Linked DNA regions of Oryzias latipes. Each later gene encodes a partner of the first gene's protein in a complex. Links are inferred from orthologs where the notes say so. Each region holds a gene or a part of one and is shown in the gene's direction. Other genes may lie near its edges. The genes, in order: fbxl5 and ireb2.

Region 1 (4,482 bases):
GTACATATTAAAGATTTTATAAATCGCCAGATAATAGCCTTAGTTTGATGACTGAGGGGACTTTCTGCATTCACAAAACCTAACTGTAAAAATTACATTTTTATTTTTTTGTTTCCACATTTTCTGAATATGTATTAACCTTTAGTCAGCCACTCATAAAAAGATTAATTCTGCAGTTTTACAGAGTTATGGGGCTGTGAAATATGCCTCTGCTTTTTATTTTTATTTTCATAGTTTAGTCATAAGTACAAGACGGTAATCCTTTACACAGGTTATTTAATGATTTAAGGTTTATTTATTTTGTTTGTCTCTAAGACACACTTGTATCTTACATGCGAGAAAAAAAGATTAGTTTTGCACGTAAAATGTGAGGCATCAAAATTCAAAACCTTGTCACAGTAAAGCTCATCAGGGATTTACTAAAAACAAATTCTGCTTAGGCGATGTCATAAAAAGGTGTTCCTTATAATAAACACCTCTGGTACTAAAAGAGTGGCTTGCTAAAAAAAACACAACAAAATATGAAACAAGTTAATGCAGCTGTAAAGAGCATTTAATTACAGTGGTGCAGGGTCAGATTCATGGTGAAATAATTGATTATGCTGTTTAACAGTCTGCAGCCTTTTCTCTTCCTGCCAATAACAAAAACAAAAGCGATACTAACTGTACAGCCACAGGATTTTTCCCTTGGGAACTAAAAAGACACTTTAATATTATCCCACGGGGTAATTTAGCCTTTTTTTTAACCTTGATGAGGAAAAAAATAGCATTTATCATGTGGCAGGACAGCAAATTTTACGCTATTAATAAAACAGAACATTTCAAGTGGGATTTGTTAATTTGTTTCGCAAGATGACCTGATGAGACCAGCCTGTGTAAATTATAAAGTGAACACCTTTCAACAAAACAATTTCAGCTTTTCAGTTAATATCCCAGATCAAAATGAGATTTATTAAATATACCTTTTCTGACATACTGACTGGATACACAACAGCACAGGTGTGCACTGCAACATAAATTCAATTTTACTATGATCTTTATTAAAACACAAATGGAAATATATTTATTTAGCCTGTATGTTAGAAAGAAAACGAAATAAACAAAAAAAACAAATTTAGATTTCACATGTACTACTGACAAATTTAAATATGTCATGTGTAAACGTATAATAAAAATAACGAATTTAACGAAATATAAAATATGAATTTAAATACAAAGAACGTTATTTAATGTAGTAAACAAATTTAAATGTCATCATTAATCTCTACACAGCATTACTTTAAAAACAACATCTTGCGTACACGTATACGCTGTTTTTTTCCCCACATTCAAAACGTAAATAATCTACAGCTGTTTGTGTGAGATCTGATACTGCGCAGACTCGTGGTCACGTGACCAACACCAGGCCCGCCCCCGAACCGAGTCTAGGCGCTGCAGATGACGCAGTCCGGTGAAGATGGCTCCCTTTCCAGAAGAGGTGGATGTTTTTACCGGCCCACACTGGCGGATGAAGCAGCTAGTGGGACTGTACTGCGAGAAGGTGCGTTTAGAAAACAAAAAACAACAACAAAAGAAGTGTTTTACGGGGTATTTTGATGGTTTGTGGTCAAATTAGGAGGGAACGGCTGCTAGCTTGTTTGCTAGCTTTGTGTTACGTGACCCGTCGCACGATTGTGTCACGTCTGCCTCGATTCTGTTTATTGTTACGTGGTGCTTACACTTAGATAAGTTCATCCTGGATCCTTACGGGTTTCAAAGTGATTTCCAGCAGATCTTCTATCAGTTGTTTTGTTAGCCGGAATCGCAGCAGGATTTGTTGTGCAACGTGTTGTTACGGGGCGGCCTCACATGCTTTAATTATCGGACACACATATTTTCACCCTTAAGCGTTAGTGCCTGTATTATCTCGCATCCAATGATATATATATATAATCTTCTTTATGTGATGTCGGCTGCGCTTACGTTAGCTGGTGTGGCTACATCAGTGTGTTCCTCCTCCCTTGTGGTAAAATCATGTGAAAAAGTTTGGGCTCCACAGTTTTTATTATTTCATTCGAGTCTGTTGTTTTTTCTTCCACAGCTGTCAAAAACTAACTTCTCCAACAACAATGATTTCCGCTCCTTCCTCAAGTCTCTGTGCGCGACCTTCAAGGAGTTCAAGATGCACGAGCAGATTGAGAATGAGTACATCATTGGCCAGCTGCAACAACGTTGCTGCACAGTTTATAACGTGCACTCTGATGACAAACTGTCAGAGATGCTGTCCCTGTTTGAAAAGGGGCTGCACAATGTCAAGGTAAATATGCCAAAAACCTACATTTCTTTCATGCACTCGATGCAACTAAATAACCCCTTCAGCAAATGCATGCATGCACCCGCTGATCCACAGTGTGTAGTAATCTGTTATTAGAGTAACTGTCAGGCTAACCACTAACAAGATACTAGAGCAACATCAGAGCTGTCATTTTGTTGGGATAATTATAATTTATTGAACAGACACGAACTTTAGCCTTTGAAGAACAGTAGATAAAAAGTTATTGTTTTGGCTCAAGCCTCCAGCAAACTCCAATCTCAGCTGCTTTCTTGGATTCGTGAATTTGTGTAAATTGGAACATCCGCTCTGCCAAACTCTCTAATATCTCTTTATTTAGTTTGGAGTGAGATCCTGCTTCCTGTCTGAAAGTTTCTACAGATATTAATTTGCAGCAGAGACTTATTTGTAAATTGTTGAAATATCTGTTTAAAAAAAAAGCACAAAACATTGAGTGTGGGAAGATTTGACTCGTATTCACAATCTCTGATCATCTAAAAGTCTAGCTCCTGTGGCAAACCATTGGGGAGAATAAATTCCAATTAAACTTTTCTTGTTGCAGTACACCTCAAAGAAAAAATAAAACAATAAAAATAATTGTAAAAATAGTGCGATAATAATAATAAAAGCCCCCAACACACATTCGCAGGATACAGAAACCAGCAGAGATACAGTCCATGAATCTGTATTAAAACATGTGGAAATGTAAAACTTACTTGTAAAACTTAAAAGCTAAGCTGAAAAGATTACTTAAGGTTTATCTTAAAAACCTCCACAGAGGATGCAGCCCTTGCATCAGTAGGCAGGCTGCTTCACTGGTGAGGCCCACAGTGCTGAAAATGTGGGCTTGCCATGGCTTTTTGTTCTGACCCTGGGGATCACCAGCAGACCTGCACCTGAGGGCTCTAGGATGGTTATAAACTAACAGTTCAAATTCTATTAGAGACCCAGCCCGATTATCCTTGGTCTATTTTGAAAGTGTTCCCGGTGGTCTTTTAACTATAGTTATGCAGGTTTTTTCTTTACAATATTGGAGCTGACCGGCTGTACAGTCGTGAGCCGGAAGCCAGCTCAGACGAGGAAAACAAAGAAGTTAAATTTTCCTTGCGCAACTTTTAGAATCATGCAAAATACCTAAAGCGTGGTAAACGTCTGCTTATGACTGTCCAAGAGCAGCTGATCTAAGATCTGGGATTTCTGTCTGTTCTGTGGTTTTAGAATGAATGTGAGCAGCTTAACTATGCTCGTCAGCTGAAGGAGAGACTTGAGGCGTTCACGCAGGACTTCCTGCCCCACATGAAGGAAGAGGAGGAGGTACAAGATAATCATGCGGGATAAGCAATAATCAAAAATGTCACCTGTTCATCCTTTTCAGCGTCAAGCTGTGTTTTAACGGAAATGTGTTGCAGGTGTTTCAGCCGATGCTCATGGAGTACTTCACCTACGAGGAGCTGAAAGACATCAAGAAAAAGGTGATAGCCCAGCACCACAGCCAACAGCACGGGGACTGTGCTGCCGGTGTGCTGAAGGGATTCCGTCTGTGGTCGCAGGCTGAGGAGCTGCAGAAAGCCTTTAAATATTCGGATCATGAGAAGACAGACTACGGTGAGTGTTTGTCCAAATGACTAAACTTGTTACAGGTTTCCAGTTAAGTGCATGACAAAGATGAGTCAAGCGTCTGTTGAAGGCCACACACTTCTTTTTTTGTCTTATCTTCAGTCATGTTTTAAAAAGGCTTTTTATGTAATCCAGCAGAGAAACAGTTTTTTTTTTAAATGAACAGCAACAGATAGATATTATGACCCGTTACCAAAATATGAGACTAGTTAAGGCTTTATTTGGGGTTAGTTGTGTTCAGCCCTCTAATGAACTGATAAACTGTCCAGAGTGGAGCCCAACCATAGCTGGACAGGCTCCAGCATCCCTGTGACCTATGACAGGATTAAGCAGACATAGAAAATGAATGAATGGATGGAGTTGTGTTCGTCTGTGATAGGAAACACAATTAGCAGGATACTTGAAGCCTTTTTTTTTTTGCTGTAAAATACCAACAATATTTGTACAGAACATGGATTATTTTGAGATAATTTTATCATTGTGGTATTTAAAACATTCACATGCTCTTCTTTTTTTCCCCCCTCCATCCTCAGACCTGGAGAAGAAGCAGAATA
Region 2 (3,817 bases), on another chromosome or scaffold:
CCATTCAACACACACAATAAAAAAAATAAAGCCATAAAAGCCATCAATATTAAAAGCCATTAGTTTAAAATAGTAAAATATTTCAAATCTATGATAAATCCATAAAACTTCAAATTCAACGTTTGTTGCTCACTGGGGGAGTTTTTCCAGTAAACTTTCAGATTTGGTCTTTTTATTTTTTCAAGTTGTCTGGACTTATTTCACTAACGTTGGTGTTTATATCTCCACAGGTTTCAGGTGATCGGTTACGGCTGTGCCACCTGCGTTGGAAACACAGCACCGTTACCGGACGCCGTCGTGGACGCCATCAAACAGGTAGTTTTCCACCATCTGTGATCCTCCTCTGTGCTTTTTTTCTATTTGCTTGTTTGTTTTAACCCATTAATAATGAACGTCTTCATTTCAGGGGGATCTGGTGACCTGCGGTCTGTTGTCCGGCAACAGGCACTTTGAAGGACGCCTGTGCGACTGCGTGCGTGCCAACTACCTGGCCTCCCCTCCCCTGGTGGTGGCTTACGCCATTGCGGGCACTGTGGGAATCGACTTTGAGAAGGAGCCGTTAGGTAAGGGCGGGGATCTGCGTGTGAGGATCATGGGAGGATTTTGGTGCTTAAATCACAGTGAATGGGCTTTTTGTGGTGATTCAGTGTGCTGCACACACACACGTTTATGCAGAAATGACTGTTTTCTGCTCTGTTGTGCGTCTGAACGCCTCAAATCATCCAGCCGGCGCCAGCTGTACAAGTTATTTAAGAAACATGACCCGATGTTTGAAGCCACTCAAAAAAAAAGCTTTTTTAGACACTCAAGTTGATCAAAATCTGCCTTCTTCACACTTTTTCATCTGATTCAACAATCTCCCTCGCTGTCTTTTAGGTGTTGAGGAGAAAAGTAAAGTTTTGGTTTTAGGATGATCCTTCCAGGTTGGGTAATCTCCGACTTTGCTGAAAAAGAACGTTGCCAGCAATTTCTGCAAACTGAGCCTTTTGTGTTTAATCCTTAAAAAGACATTTTGTAAAACTTGACCTCATCTTTAACACCTCATGACAGCTGACCTTGTTTTTTGGTTTTTGATAAGGATGCTGGTCCTCTTGTCCTGCTGATGGACAAAAAAAACCCTGTTTTTGACAACTAAAAAAAAGAAATAAGAAAAGAAAAAAACCACATACATTTATATCTATATATATATATAGATATATATATAGATCAGTAAACCCTTGTTTTTCGGGGGGGTTACGTTCCAAAAAGAACCCCTGATAGACAAAATCTGTGAAGTAGAAACCTTTATTTTTTTTACAATTAAATTCTCTATTATACATTGAAAAAAAAGAACAAACCATTTTCCAGGCTCAAGCATTTGTTTCACAAATAAAAGTTCTTTAGAACGTTTTTTTCAACAAATAACTTCTGTACTGTCAAATAACAATTTTAATCATCAATGTGAACAGAAGGCTTCAAATTGCGGCGATTAGCCCCGCCCACCGCGACCTGAGTAATTGGACTAAACGGGAGAAAATTACAAAATAGTGGCTCTGGTGTATTTGTAGTGTTTTCTTTCTTTTGCAAAGTAACAATAGAGTTGTTGTGTGTCTTTGATCAGGTTTATCTTCAAGCGGAAAGGAGGTGTATCTTAGTGATATCTGGCCGTCCAGAGAGGAGGTCCAGCAGACGGAGGAGGACACGGTCATCTCCTCTGTCTTCAAGGATCTCAGGGGAAGGATGGAGGTTAGGAGATGAAACTAAAGCTGTCTTTTTAATGGAGATGCAAAGGAAAGTTCGTTTCTTAATGTGAGTAAATGTTGACAGATGTTCCGCTCTCTTCCAGAAAGGGAACACGTTTTGGAACAACATTGAAAGTCCAGACTCGGTGGTTTTCCCGTGGGATCCCAAGTCCACGTACATCCGTTGTCCACCTTTCTTCAGCAAGCTGGTAAGTCCTCTGAAAGCTCTCTGTGGGAGCGCCGGGACCCTGACTTCGCCTTTCATCCTCCTCTCCCCTGTCTCAGAGCAAAGAGCTCCCCGCTCCTCAGTCCATAGAGAACGCTCACGCCTTACTCTTCCTCGGGGACAAAGTGAGCACCGACCACATCTCGCCAGCGGGCAGCATCGCCAGGGCCAGCACCGCCGCCAAATACCTGCAGAGCAGACGGTCAGTTTCAAGCTTTGGTTTTTTATTGACTCTGTCCTGCCCAACGTTAATAATGGGGTTATTTCCAGGGAGGGACGGCCTGATCTGATCACGGAGTTTCACACTTGATCAAAATCAAATGTTGCATCAGGAATCAGGGATCAGATATTTGTTTGATTCTCTTTACCATACTGATCAGTGCTAAATACTTCAAGCTTATTCTACACCAGGGGTGGGCAAACTGCAGCCCACGGGCTGGATCCGGCCCGCCTCCATGTTTGGTCCGGCCCACTGAACAATATCAGTTATATCATTTATTTTGATCTGGCTACACTATCACGACCCGCATAGAACGTGAAATTTTATCCCCCTCTTCTGCAGTCTGAGCTCCAGCCTGAAACCCTCTAAAATCTCTGTCAAACAGAACAGAAGACAGTCTTCCCTTTCTACGTCGCAGATCATCTTTCCCGGTTTAGCTCACTCATTTAGAGCGATTGTGCTACTTTTTTTAAACAGCGCACCCTGTTCTGTGTCCTGATTGGATGGAGACCTTGTCAATCAATCTCCTCCGTGTCTCCTGTACAGAAACGCGGAGCTCTTCAGATCTACAGAAATTTGTGATCAATCAGATCTTTGTTTTCATTCTAAGATCCTTGACCTAAATTCTATGAAAGTTTCAGAATTTAAACAGAGAAAAGGATGAAAATGTTCATGTCTGTCTGAGAAAAGTGTAGAAAGTGTGCAGTGAGGAGTTTTACTGCCATAAGCGTTTGTAATCAGACTCTGTGGATTTCACCGATCATGGTTATTTTTAGAACGTAACTCCTGCAATAAAGGAGGGAACTCTGTACTGGTGAAAAGGTAACGCAGTTATATGCGTAGCTGCAGCAGAAGACAGAAGAATGTGCTTTCTTTCATTATTACTGGATGAGAAACAGACGTGCAGGACTCAGCTGCTCAGTTTGAGCGCAAACTGTGAGACGTGAGGAGCTGCAGCTTCAAAGTCTCAGCTGGTCAACGACGGGAGAGGATCTTCTATTTATTGGTTTTTCTATTTTTTCCTGACTTTTGGTCTTTGAAAAATCACAGTTATTTGGTCATTTTTTTTATTACATAAATAGTGTTATTTATCTTATTAAAAGGACCATGAATTAATAAAACTTTATTATAGGGCTTTACAATAAAAGACAGATAAAAGTTGAAAAAAAACATCAAATGTTGACCTCACAAGTTAAAGTTTGGGGACTCCGCTCTAGCATCCATGTGGGGTTGGAACATTTGTTGTTTTTCTATCTTACGATCATTCAAACATCACATAAACGCAGCATTTCCACAAGTTCTCCATGAGGTACATCAAGCCGTTGGTGCAATTGGCTAAAAATTCTAAAATGTTTTTTTTTAAAATACAACTTTAAATCCAAATGTTTTCATCCAGATTCCATGTTATTTCTTTCTCACAAAAAATGTGAAAAACTGACAGCGGGTGTTTATAGCTTTCCCTTAACACAAACATTGATGTACAACAGTATCCATGGCAACCACTCTTGCCATTCAGGAGTGAGATCCCACCTCACCTTGAAACCTGTCAATGAAACCTTCCAAATGTTCATCGTGAGACCACGTATACTTTTATGGAGTTTATAGCTTTCACTACAGATAGTAGGAGGAATAGCTAAAACATGTTAACAA

The links.
Region 2: the proteins of fbxl5 (region 1) and ireb2 are in contact, whole or in part, in a cryo-EM structure (PDB 6VCD), measured with the Homo sapiens proteins. The link is inferred for Oryzias latipes from reciprocal best matches to the Homo sapiens genes FBXL5 and IREB2. Residues at the interface, in NP_036293.1 of Homo sapiens: Asp656, Glu657, Tyr661, Cys662, Asp663, Asn664, Ile665, His669, Ala670, Asp671, Thr672, Ala673, Ser674, Gly675, Cys676, Gln677, Asn678, Leu679, Gln680, Cys687, Arg688, Ser689, Gly690, Glu691; in NP_004127.2 of Homo sapiens: Asp89, Phe90, Ser129, Asn217, Val220, Glu221, Arg224, Arg228, Ala758, Gly759, Ser760, Arg763, Asn764, Thr777, Pro778, Arg779, Asn782, Ser783, Tyr784, Gly785, Ala786, Arg788.

What each region holds. Positions count from the first base shown.
Region 1 is NC_019862.2:28,339,736-28,344,217, forward strand, and holds the start of fbxl5 (F-box/LRR-repeat protein 5), read left to right. Parts: upstream 1-1,405; 5' UTR 1,406-1,456; coding exon 1,457-1,540; intron 1,541-2,080; coding exon 2,081-2,296; intron 2,297-3,529; coding exon 3,530-3,625; intron 3,626-3,720; coding exon 3,721-3,916; intron 3,917-4,461; coding exon 4,462-4,482.
Region 2 is NC_019864.2:10,482,695-10,486,511, forward strand, and holds part of ireb2 (iron-responsive element-binding protein 2), read left to right. Parts: intron 1-230; coding exon 231-315; intron 316-406; coding exon 407-563; intron 564-1,600; coding exon 1,601-1,725; intron 1,726-1,825; coding exon 1,826-1,930; intron 1,931-2,006; coding exon 2,007-2,149; intron 2,150-3,817. UniProt on the Homo sapiens protein: RNA-binding protein that binds to iron-responsive elements (IRES), which are stem-loop structures found in the 5'-UTR of ferritin, and delta aminolevulinic acid synthase mRNAs, and in the 3'-UTR of transferrin receptor mRNA.